3 linked regions of the Macaca mulatta genome follow. The protein of the gene in region 3 interacts with the protein of the main gene of each other region in a pairwise test. Links are inferred from orthologs where the notes say so. Each region holds a gene or a part of one and is shown on either strand. Other genes may lie near its edges. The genes, in order: NBR1, SGTA and SYT4.

Evidence for each region.
Region 1: the proteins of SYT4 (region 3) and NBR1 interact in binary tests that used the Homo sapiens proteins (3 or more experiments, as listed by UniProt). The two-hybrid records come from large-scale screens. The link is inferred for Macaca mulatta from reciprocal best matches to the Homo sapiens genes SYT4 and NBR1.
Region 2: the proteins of SYT4 (region 3) and SGTA interact in binary tests that used the Homo sapiens proteins (3 or more experiments, as listed by UniProt). The two-hybrid records come from large-scale screens. The link is inferred for Macaca mulatta from reciprocal best matches to the Homo sapiens genes SYT4 and SGTA.

What each region holds. Positions count from the first base shown.
Region 1 is NC_133421.1:67,529,374-67,533,023, reverse strand, and holds part of NBR1 (next to BRCA1 gene 1 protein), read right to left. Parts: intron 3,599-3,650; coding exon 3,389-3,598; intron 1,856-3,388; coding exon 1,696-1,855; intron 1,602-1,695; coding exon 1,311-1,601; intron 592-1,310; coding exon 442-591; intron 1-441. UniProt on the Homo sapiens protein: Ubiquitin-binding autophagy adapter that participates in different processes including host defense or intracellular homeostasis.
Region 2 is NC_133424.1:3,534,761-3,538,410, reverse strand, and holds part of SGTA (small glutamine-rich tetratricopeptide repeat-containing protein alpha), read left to right. Parts: intron 1-1,214; coding exon 1,215-1,314; intron 1,315-2,761; coding exon 2,762-2,866; intron 2,867-3,650. UniProt on the Homo sapiens protein: Co-chaperone that binds misfolded and hydrophobic patches-containing client proteins in the cytosol. Mediates their targeting to the endoplasmic reticulum but also regulates their sorting to the proteasome when targeting fails.
Region 3 is NC_133423.1:49,172,119-49,175,768, forward strand, and holds part of SYT4 (synaptotagmin-4), read left to right. Parts: intron 1-208; coding exon 209-1,023; intron 1,024-2,772; coding exon 2,773-2,893; intron 2,894-3,650. UniProt on the Homo sapiens protein: Synaptotagmin family member which does not bind Ca(2+). Involved in neuronal dense core vesicles (DCVs) mobility through its interaction with KIF1A.

The sequences.
Region 1 (3,650 bases), on a different chromosome or scaffold from region 3:
CTGTTTGGAGTGCATGCTGGAGCCACGTCTTGATGGGATCTGTAGACCATTTCCACATCGTCTTGTATTCAACTCTGTTCAAATTCATGCCTGTCTCCAGACAAGTGAAAAAAGGAAGAGTTAAATAGGAATTAGGTGTTGAAATAACCAAATGGCAGGAAAGAGAAAATGCAGCAGGTAAAAAGGAGAATCAGCTAGGCCAAAGTGAAGAGGCCACTAAAGGGAGTTTGTGGGGAAGTACAGGATTGAGTTCCCAATTCAAAGAGGAAACATCTAGTTTACAAATTTGCTTCCATGGGTGATCTCCTTCCCATTAAATATACCGGACTAGATCAAAGTGGGCATATCTCTGATTTCCTGATTACCGCCTATGGCTCTACCACCTTCTCTCCTGTGCTCTCTCCCTCTGTCCCTTGCCCTACAAAGTGCTGAATCTTCCACCTGGGCAGTCAGAAGATCCACAGATGGGATGTAGAGCTCCCTCTCACTGGCAACATTTTTTGCCTTCTGTGGGATGCAGGCTGCTGATCCTTCTGTCTGCTCAGTCACTTCACCAAGTTGTCTTTCTTCTTTAGCCAGAAGAAAAGCTTCCTATAGAGACAAACCATTGAGACAAATTTTAGGCCTTCAACAGAACTGAAGAGGCAGGCTGACAATGCCCCCAAAAATAAAAACTCTGCTGTACCTCTGTATCTTAAAAAACTTAAGAAATGTTTTTGATATATTTTTACAGTTATAGAAAAGCTGTAAAAACAGCAGAGAGAATTCACATTCACCCAGCTTCCCCTAATGACAACTTACATTAACTATAATAGTCAAAACCAGAAAATTAACATTGGGTAACTTTAAGCAGTAAACACTCTGCCCGACTAATACAAAGAAATTGCATTAAAAAACTGTGCACTAAGTAGCAACCAGGGCAAGACTTCATTAGTATTTAGGAAACATACACACAGTATTTCAGGAGATGGATATTAAGGAGAAAAGCTATCAGTTCAGCAGTTCCATAGGCCAGGCCAGGCCAGGCGCCCCTTTTTCCCTTGTGCAGCCAACAGGCTGACCATGCAACATTACAAAGAAGTATTCAGGGACCGCCTGCGGCAAGACCCTAAAGATACTAAAACAAAGACACTAAAACAAACACCCTAAGGAAGAGGCCAAATATCAGCACAGAAATGTGTTGGGGGCGGGGGGAGATGCTAACCTTTCAAGATTTCTGGAAAACAACTAGCTATGAGTGGGTTCTTTTAGCCATGTCCTTTCTAACTATGATTTGGATACTGGGCCAAAGCCTGTCAGTCAATGCTCACCTCTTGCTGGCAGGTGAGATCATCAGTTTTGCTTGAGCTGATCATGCCCTTTTCAATGTTATCAGGGCTCTCTTCGGAGGGGAAAGGATCCACTATGATACTGCACCAGACTCGAGGCCCAAATTGCTGGCCTTTGTGAGAAAGACGCCAATGGGAAGTATACGTTCCCTCCAAGGCTGGGGCAATGAACTCCACAGATACAACTCCCACATGGCCGGCCTTGAGGCAAGGAACCAAAACATCCTTCTTTTCTGTGGAAGCCAAAGTCAGGTTTCCCCACATGAACTTGAGCTGAAAAAAACAGTAAGAAGAGAAAGCAAGCTTGTCAGCTGAGCACTCTGCCACTTCAAATCACCTCATCTTCACATTTTGTGGGAAAAATTACCTTTGTGTCTGCACTCCACTTCACATTTCCTGTATTCTTCATCCTCCAGTGTTTGATAAACTTGGTTCCTGGCTGAAGGTGAGTCCCATCAGGCAAATTCTCATCCACAAATGCTGCACTGAGCATTGGCATAACGGGGGTATAGGGTTGCAAAGGGAGCCTGAACAGAAATTCAGATGCTTAGTCACTTGCTGTTGGGTGTGAAGTCTTCAGAATATCTCGCACTGGCTTGAGAGTCTGGCTGTGACTCTTGAAAATGTACTAACCCATTTGCCTTAAAAATAATACTAATATTACTAGTATAGGACCACATATCATAAACAATAAATTTTCTGACAAACTTAAAACAATAAAACAAAACAGAGGATAGGTCTCACTCCTGAGCTAAAAAAGTCATGGTAAGAGTAATTAAAAGGGCCCATAAATACAACACCTAGAGAGTCAGGCTTTTAAAATATTTGTTCCTTTTGCTTCAATTCCAGACTGCCTCCAATGAAGAGAGGGACCCCACCACTCTGAACTTTAGTGGTTTCTATCTTTCTGAAGAAGGAAACAAAACAAGTGTCAAAAATAACTACCAAATGTGGCCGGGCACGGTGGCTCACGCCTGTAATCCCAGCACTTTGGGAGGTCAAGGCGGGCGGATCACGGTATCAGGAGATCGAGACCATCCTGGCTAACATGGTGAAACCCTGTCTCTACTAAAAAATACAAAAAAATTAGCTGGGCATGGTGGCGGGCACCTGTAGTCCCAGCTACTTGGGAGGCTGAGGCAGGAGAATGGTGTGAACACAGGAGGCGGAGCTTGCAGTGAGCTGAGATCGTGCCACTGCCCTCCAGTCTGGGCGACAGTGTGAGACTCCGAGACTCTGTCTCAAAAAAAAAAAAAAAAAAAAACTACCAAACTACCCTTTAATAATACTAACACCAGACCAGGCACAGTGGCTCACGCCTGTAATCTCAGCACTTTGGGAGGCCAAGGCGGGCGGATCCTGAGGTCAGGAATTCGAGGACAGTCTGACCAACATGGTGAAACCCCGTCTCTATTGAAAAAAATACAAAACTTAGCCAGGCATGGTGGCATGCGCCTGTAACCCTAGCTACTCAGGAGGCTGAGGCAGGAGAATCACTTGAACCCGGGAGGCGGAGGTTGCAGTGAGCCGAGATCACACCACTGCACTCCACCCTGGGTGACAGAGCGAGACTCCGTCTCAAAAAAAAAAAAAAAAAAAAAAAAGCTGGGCGCAGTGGCTCACGCCTGTAATCCCAGCACCTTGAGAGGCCAAGGCGGGTGGATCACAAGGTCAGGAGATCAAGACCATCCTGGCCAACACAGTGAAACCCTGTCTCTACTAAAAATACAAAAAATTAGCCAGGCCCGTGGTGGCGGGTGCTTGTAGTCCCAGCTACTCGGGAGGCTGAGGCAGGAGAATGGCGTGAATCCAGAAGGCAGAGCTTGCAGTGAGCCAAGATCATGCCACTGCACTCCAGCCTGGGCAACAGAGAGAGACTCCGTCTCAAAAAACAAAAACAAACAAAAAAGCCAATAACAAAAAAACTAAGACCAGATAATCGGAATTTTTAAGGATTTGGGTGTTAAGGGTTACCAACAAATAAGACGGAAGTTGGTTGAAGTTCCAGTTTCAGAGAGCTGGGCCTAAAGTTTTGGCTCCCACCCCAGCCCTGGGCTTACATCAGGGTATTAGACTGGAGCAAGCTCTCAGGTCGGCCTAAAGGAGACTTGGGGCTCTGGAGTCCATGGATTGAATTCCACAGGTGAATTTTCCTATGGAGTTTAAGTTGCTTTTTAAGTTCCTTGACCTCTGCTTTACGTTGTTTCTTCTCAGCTCGCAATCTTTGCTTTTCTGCTTTAAGAAAGTTCTTATCAACCTGTTTCTGGAGCCTGTGAGATAATAAAAGCAAGTCTTAAAAGAAAGTCACAAATAAATTCTGAA
Region 2 (3,650 bases), on a different chromosome or scaffold from region 3:
CCGAGGCAAGAGAGTCGCTTGAACCTGGGAGGCGGAGGTTGCTGTGAGTCCAGATGGCGCCATTGCACTCCAGCCTGGGTGACAAGAGTGAAACTCCATCTCAAAAAAAAAAAAAGAAATATTAAAAAAAAATAAAAAGAAGCAAAAACAGCTTAAATGCTTGTCCACAATAAATAGTCAGTGCAGTGTGGCCCGTCCACACAGTGGAATGTGGATGGGTGAGGCTCTGACCCAGGCCCCAGTGCAGATGCACCATGAGGACATCACGCTCAGGGAGAGACGCCAGACACAAAAGGACACACAGCGTGTGATCCCATTTCTTTCTTTCTTTCTTTTTGAGACCGAGTGTCTCTCTGTTGCCCAGGCTGGAGTGCAGTGGTGCAATCTTGGCTCACCGCAACCTCTGACTCTCTGGTTCAAGTGATTCTCCTGCCTCAGCCTCCCGAGTAGCTGGGACTACAGACGCGCGCCACCACGCCTGGCTAATTTTTCTATTTTTAGTAGAGACGGGTTTCACCGTGTTGGCCAGGATGGTCTCGATCTCCTGATCTCGCGATCCACCTGCCTCGGCCTCCCAAAGTGCTGGGAGTATAGGCACGAGCCACCGCGCCTGGCCTTATATTTTTAAAGCATAAGCTTTGTGGCCTGTAAATTATATCTCAGTAAAACTGTTTAAGGAAACACGCTGGTACCAGTCTTCCCCCAACACCCTCCTGAATTGGGATCTCGGGGGTGGGAGCGGGTTTCTGTCTTCAGAGCTCTCAGTTGGTTCTAGGATAGCAGCCGGGCTTTTTACTGTCCTGCCAGCTGGGACCCATGCCTTAGATAGAAGCCACATTGCTATGAAATTAGAAGGTATCAGGAGTTTTCTAAAATTCAGGCCTCCGCTTGGGCTCTTTCCAAAAGAAATGGCAAAAGGGACAGTTTCGATCCCTGGGCCGATGGGCTGTATTAACAGTTCTGTTCCCAGGGGTCACCATCCAGGCAGCGAGAGCCACCATCCATCGCCAGGCCAGGCCCTGCCGGCCCCACCTCCATCCCCCTTAGTGGGTGTAGAGATGACCGTTTGTGATTAGTGAACCCCCCACAGATGCAGACGCCTCCTGCCCACGGCTGTGTTGAGCCCTAGGTGCCCCGAAGAACCCGGTGTGAGGCCGAGAGCCCCCGCGGGTCTGTCTGGACGCCCGGGCCAGTGTTTCCCCCTCTCCCTGTAGGAAACGAGCAGATGAAAGTGGAGAACTTCGAAGCTGCCGTGCATTTCTACGGAAAAGCCATCGAGCTCAACCCAGCCAACGCCGTCTATTTCTGCAACAGGTGCCAGCTCGGGGCCTGCCCAGGGCGGGGGCGGCCGTGTGCGGGGCGCCCTCCGGGATGCTTGGCAGGGGCCTGAGATGGGAGAGGCCTCTGCGCTCTAGATAAGGGATCCGTTCACCGGCGGTCCCAGACCCAGAGCAAGCATCAGGCGGCCAGCAAGGGGGTCAGGGAGAGTCGACGCTGACGTTAAGATCAGGTGGCTCGCCCAGCACTCTGGGAGGCCACGGGGGGAAGATCACTTGAGGCTGGGAGTTGGGGACCAGCCTGGGCAACATATCAAGACCCCTGTCTCCACAGAAAACGTAAAAACTAGTCTGGGGGCCGGGCACAGTGGCTCACGCCTGTAATCCCAGCACTTTGGGAGGCCGAGGCGGGTGGATTACTTGAGATCGAGAGTTTGAGACCAGCCTGTCCAACATGGTGAAACCATGTCTTTACTAAAAATACAAAATTAGCCGGGCGTGGTGGTGTACACCTGTAATCCCAGCTACTTGAGAGGCTGAGGTATGAGAATGACTTGAACCTAGGAGGCAGAGGTTGCAGTGAGCCAAGATTGCGCCACTGCACCCCACCCTGGAGACTCTGTCTCCAAAAAAACCCGAAAAAAAAAAATTAGCTGGACGTGGTGGCGCACGCCTGTAATCCCAGCTAACTGGGAGACTGAGGCAGGAGAATCACTTGAACCCGGGAAGCGGAGCTTGCAGTGAGCTGAGATCGTGTCACTGCACTCCAGCCTGGGCAGCAGAGCAAAACCCTGTTTCAAAAATAAATACATACGTACATACATACATACATACGTACGTACATACACACATACATACAAAATCAGGTGTCACGGCGTTCCACGTGGATGTCAAGCCAAGAAAATAATCCGGTATGTGGAGGGTTGAGGTTTTTTTGAACGTGTGGTCTGGGATCTGCTTCAGGCTTGCAGAACAGTTGCAGAGGGAGTGCAGGGTCCCTGGCCGCTTGTCACGGGGTAGTTTATTCTCCACTTACGCTTCTCCGTACTTTGAAAAAGTCGTAAAGAGAAACACTAAACACGAAAATGGTGAAGACGATTCAGATGCTGTAAGCCAAGAGCTTTGAGCTTTGACATTGGTCTGAGTTCTTTTTTTACTGATACGTAAATAATTTGTCAACGAAACTTGGGTGTAAGTTCCCACACTCATTGCTCTTGTGCAGCCATGGATTGGAACAGTTTTTGCAAATAAAATTCAGAGTCGCAGTCCCAAGTGGCTGTTGGTGCCTTGAGCGCGCATCTGTCTAAGAGCATCTCAGTGGCTGCACCTCTCAGCTTTCGCCGTCAGCCCTATTTTACAGAGGGGGAACCTGAGGCCGTTCCTCCAGGAAGCGGAAGAGGAACGCAGCTCTCAGGCTCCCCTCCAGGGCTGCCTGCTGGGCTCAGAGCCGCCAGTGAGGGACCTGCCCTGCCTTTCTTCCCCAGAGCTGCTGCCTACAGCAAACTCGGCAACTATGCAGGCGCGGTGCAGGACTGTGAGCGGGCCATCTGCATCGACCCCGCCTACAGCAAGGCCTACGGCAGGATGGGGTGAGTGCCTGTCGCATGTTTCCAGTCTCTCGGGGCTCCTCCTCTCCTGCTCCTGCTTCCTCTCTTGTGTGGCTTTTTCCCCCACCCACAACCGATTCTCCCCCCACAGTTCAGTTCAGCTCTGACACTAGCCGTTCGGAGCCAACGTAGCCCCTACAGGTCGCAGGCTCAGCCCCACAGACGCCCTGCATCACGTGCCACTCGGAGATCCCCGGGCCCCTTGCTTCTCCCGACTGGCTGTCCACTGGGGTTCCCGTGGCCCCTACTCGGGCTCCATTGTTTGCTGGGGCGGCTCACAGAGCTCAGGGAAGCACCTGGTTTATGATGAAGGACACAGGAGGGGTCTGAGGGCGAGGCCAGGAGGGTCCCCGGGGCAGGAGCCTGTGCCCCGTGCCGCTGGTGCCACCCTCCCAGCATGAGAAGCAGTTCATTCGCCTGCTTCTGTGAACGCCCTTGCTTAAAGTTCGTGGGACTGGGTCTCCCCGGAGGCTGGGGAGGATCCTGTTCACCTGCCCAGTCTCCCCAGGACCTGCCTCCTTCTGGGCTCTCTAGGGGCCCCAAGTCATCTCAGTAGTGAAGACTCAGGTGGGAGTCAGGGGCTGCTTGTGGACGACAGGAGACACGTCTGTCACTGAGTTCCCAGGGTCCTCGATGCCCTGTGCCAGAAAGCGGGGCCAAGACCACATCCACGCGTTTCCTGTGACCCTGAGCCGGCCCGCTCCCTCCTCTCAGCCCGCTCTGGGCTTTGAGGCCTCGTGTGCGGCCCCATGGGGACGCCAGTTCT
Region 3 (3,650 bases):
CTACTGAAATGAAGGAGTTTCTACTATACTTTATGTTTTTCCTGTGGGGATGTGTTTGTATCTGAAGTTAGTGTGATATATATATCAGTTGGAAAGTAATTCAATCTATTCAACCTATAGCAATTGCTAGCTCTATTAGGCTTTTCAAAAGGCTCGTATCTCCAGCTCTGCTTCTTTAATGTATATTATTGGTCATTTGATTTTTCAGATGAAATCCCCACAGTGGTGGGGATCTTCAGTGCATTTGGCCTGGTCTTCACAGTCTCTCTCTTTGCATGGATCTGCTGTCAGAGAAAATCATCCAAGTCTAACAAGACTCCTCCATACAAGTTTGTGCATGTGCTTAAGGGAGTTGATATTTACCCTGAAAACCTAAATAGCAAAAAGAAGTTTGGAGCAGATGACAAAAATGAAGTAAAGAATAAGCCAACTGTGCCAAAGAATTCATTGCATCTGGATCTTGAAAAGAGAGATCTCAATGGCAATTTTCCCAAAACCAACCTCAAACCTGGCAGCCCTTCTGATCTGGAGAATGCAACCCCAAAGCTCTTTTTAGAAGGAGAAAAAGAGGCAGTTTCCCCTGATAGTTTAAAGTCCAGCACTTCCCTTTCCTCAGAAGAGAAACAAGAGAAGCTGGGAACTCTCTTCTTCTCCTTAGAATACAACTTTGAGAAAAAAGCATTTGTGGTCAATATCAAGGAAGCCCGTGGCTTGCCAGCCATGGACGAGCAGTCGATGACCTCTGACCCATATATCAAAATGACGATCCTCCCAGAGAAGAAGCATAAAGTGAAAACTAGAGTGCTGAGAAAAACCTTGGATCCAGCTTTTGATGAGACCTTTACATTCTATGGGATCCCCTACACCCAAATCCAAGAATTGGCCTTGCACTTCACAATTTTGAGTTTTGACAGGTTTTCAAGAGATGATATCATTGGGGAAGTTCTAATTCCTCTCTCGGGAATTGAATTATCTGAAGGAAAAATGTTAATGAACAGAGAGATCATCAAGAGAAATGTTAGGGTAATTTATTTTCAGTGCTTAAAGTATTTATAAACAATCTTTTATGTAGCTTTTTGGTGTCTGAGGAATTTTCATTAATATGATAAGCTTGTACATGTCATCCTTACCATGTTTAATTATTATTAATTATAATCTAATGGAGATCAAGGGAATAGAACAGATGAAATAAAATTTAATCCATAACTGAAATACTCAAAGTGTTTTAATGATATGAAATAAATATGCATTCTTTATGGATATTTATATATCACTTACGTAAATACTTTTGTTAATCTCTATCATAAATATTTTGACAGACACTGCTACTTTAAAATATAGGTGAATATTTCTTATTCATAGGCAAGTTAACAAAGAGGTTTCAAGGTCAACGTAATTGAATTTAAAATGGAAATTTAAAATTAAATCAATTCTTCCTGAAGATTTGGAAATTGTATTGACTTTCAATGGAACTGCTTTTCAAGGAGGAGGTATCACGTCATATTCAATTATCAATGCCTATCTCTAAATTGTATAGTAGGAAATGAGTTCCTCTATTTTTGTAGTTATACTACTCTGGTAGTTCTGGGTTTATTAGAAAAAATAAGGCATCAATTAAACAAATTTAATCCCATCTTCACTTTAAATTTGAAACTCAATTGATTTCAACAGTAGTATTTCAGAATAACTTCTCTCTATAGTAGAATTATTTATAAAAATCAATAAACATACTAATTTACGTTTTTGAAACAACATAGTGTTTCAGAACTGAAAACCTGACAGCTCATTTTGACTGTCTCCTCTCCTAGTGAAATTAATGAAGGTCAAGGTTCAGAGACATTGCACAGCTTGTTTGAGACACCCGGCTGATTTAGTGGCACAGTGGGAATAAGAATCTTTCTTCTACTCTTATTCTCCTTAGAGTGCCTACTTATACAGCTGTCCCATGTTAGTTTTTGTATAAATATATTGCAGTTTTAGTTTTGTGTCAGCCATCACTCTTAGTTGCAAACAAACACCAAGTTAATATCTTGTTACTTTCAGTCAAAAATTTTACTTTGAATTATTGGATATGTTATCTATTGTCTTTAAAGTACAAATGAAATCTAAGTAGCATTCAAAGAAGGACGCTATGACACCGTCCCAAAACAATTCTCTCCAGTACTTAAAATCAATTCATTTCTTGGCTTGAATGGAAATTTGCTGTTGTTAAAGAGGCAGAGAATTTTAACTCCATTATCCCTCTGTGCCAGGAAGGTAGTTGGGGTCGGAATGAATCTCACTGGGACTGAGTTCAAATTTCAACATGTCGGTGGTAAAGAATTTGAAATCAAATCAAACTTATCTAATTTTTTGCATGAGTATGTGCAGTCATTTGACCCAACACATACTCATGCAAATAATTAGATAAGCTTTGTTACTAGTAATAACTTTGAAAAGTATAGATGTTGTTAAAAACCAAAAGCCAAAAATAATCCTGTGTAGGATATAATTTAAATATGCTTTAAACATTTCTAAGTAATGGGTGTGGTCAATTTATTGCGAATTTTAACATCCTGTAGTACCAAACAAGACCACAAGATGGCAGGCAGTGGTTTTTCAAGCAGCGATGGTCCTGCAGAAAAGCTTTTACTCTTCGATTCTTTAGAATATAAAAATAAAAATAAGTAAGAAGATTACATTTAAATGACAATGTTATTTAAACTTTAATGAAAGTACAAACTTCAAAGCTAAAAAGATAGAAATACTTATATCACATTTGTCTTTCTTTAGAAGTCTTCAGGACGGGGTGAGTTACTGATTTCCCTCTGCTATCAGTCCACCACAAATACTCTAACTGTGGTTGTCTTAAAAGCTCGACATCTGCCTAAATCTGATGTGTCCGGACTTTCAGGTAAGAATGCTTCTGAAATACTCAGGTTCACTGTATGAGTGGAATGTATTTTACTGCAAATGAGCCCACCTACTCTTACTCTTTTATGTTTTATCTTTTCTCTAATACCTTGTTTATCTACTGTAAAAGTTAGCTTTTAGTTTTGTGACTAACTTTACAAAAAAAATGAAACAAAACACTAATTGTTTGTTGTATAGAAATGAGAAACAAAATAAGCTACAGTTTAACATTACCTGAGTTCAAATCCTAACCCTTCCATTCCTTAACAAAATATTATTGGGTATGTTTCTCAACCTCTGTACAAACTGGCCATAATACTGCTCATCCTGAGGGGCATTGTGAGAACTAGAAACACACACTTCTTCAAATATCATCTAATGTTATTACTAGTATTATTTAATGATGGAAGTTGAAAACATGGTCTTAAAAGATTAGATTATGAAGCTAAAATTGACTCATATATTGCCACCAGAAAAAGGCAAAAGCATTGTGATAAAGTGGCATGAACTTAAAATCTACATACTAACAATGACACAGAGAAGCTCAACACTAGGAAATAGAAAGCAAATCCAGCCTGTGACTAAAGAAATTCATAAAAGTTAAAACTAAAAAAAACATTGACATTGTGGACTCTAAATCCTCATTTTATGGAAAACACAGCCAAAAGTCAGGGAAATAGACTTACCCAAAGTCACACAAGTCAGTAAAGCTAGATGTTGTCTAATATATATTTTTTTCCTTCTATTCTATTCTTGGA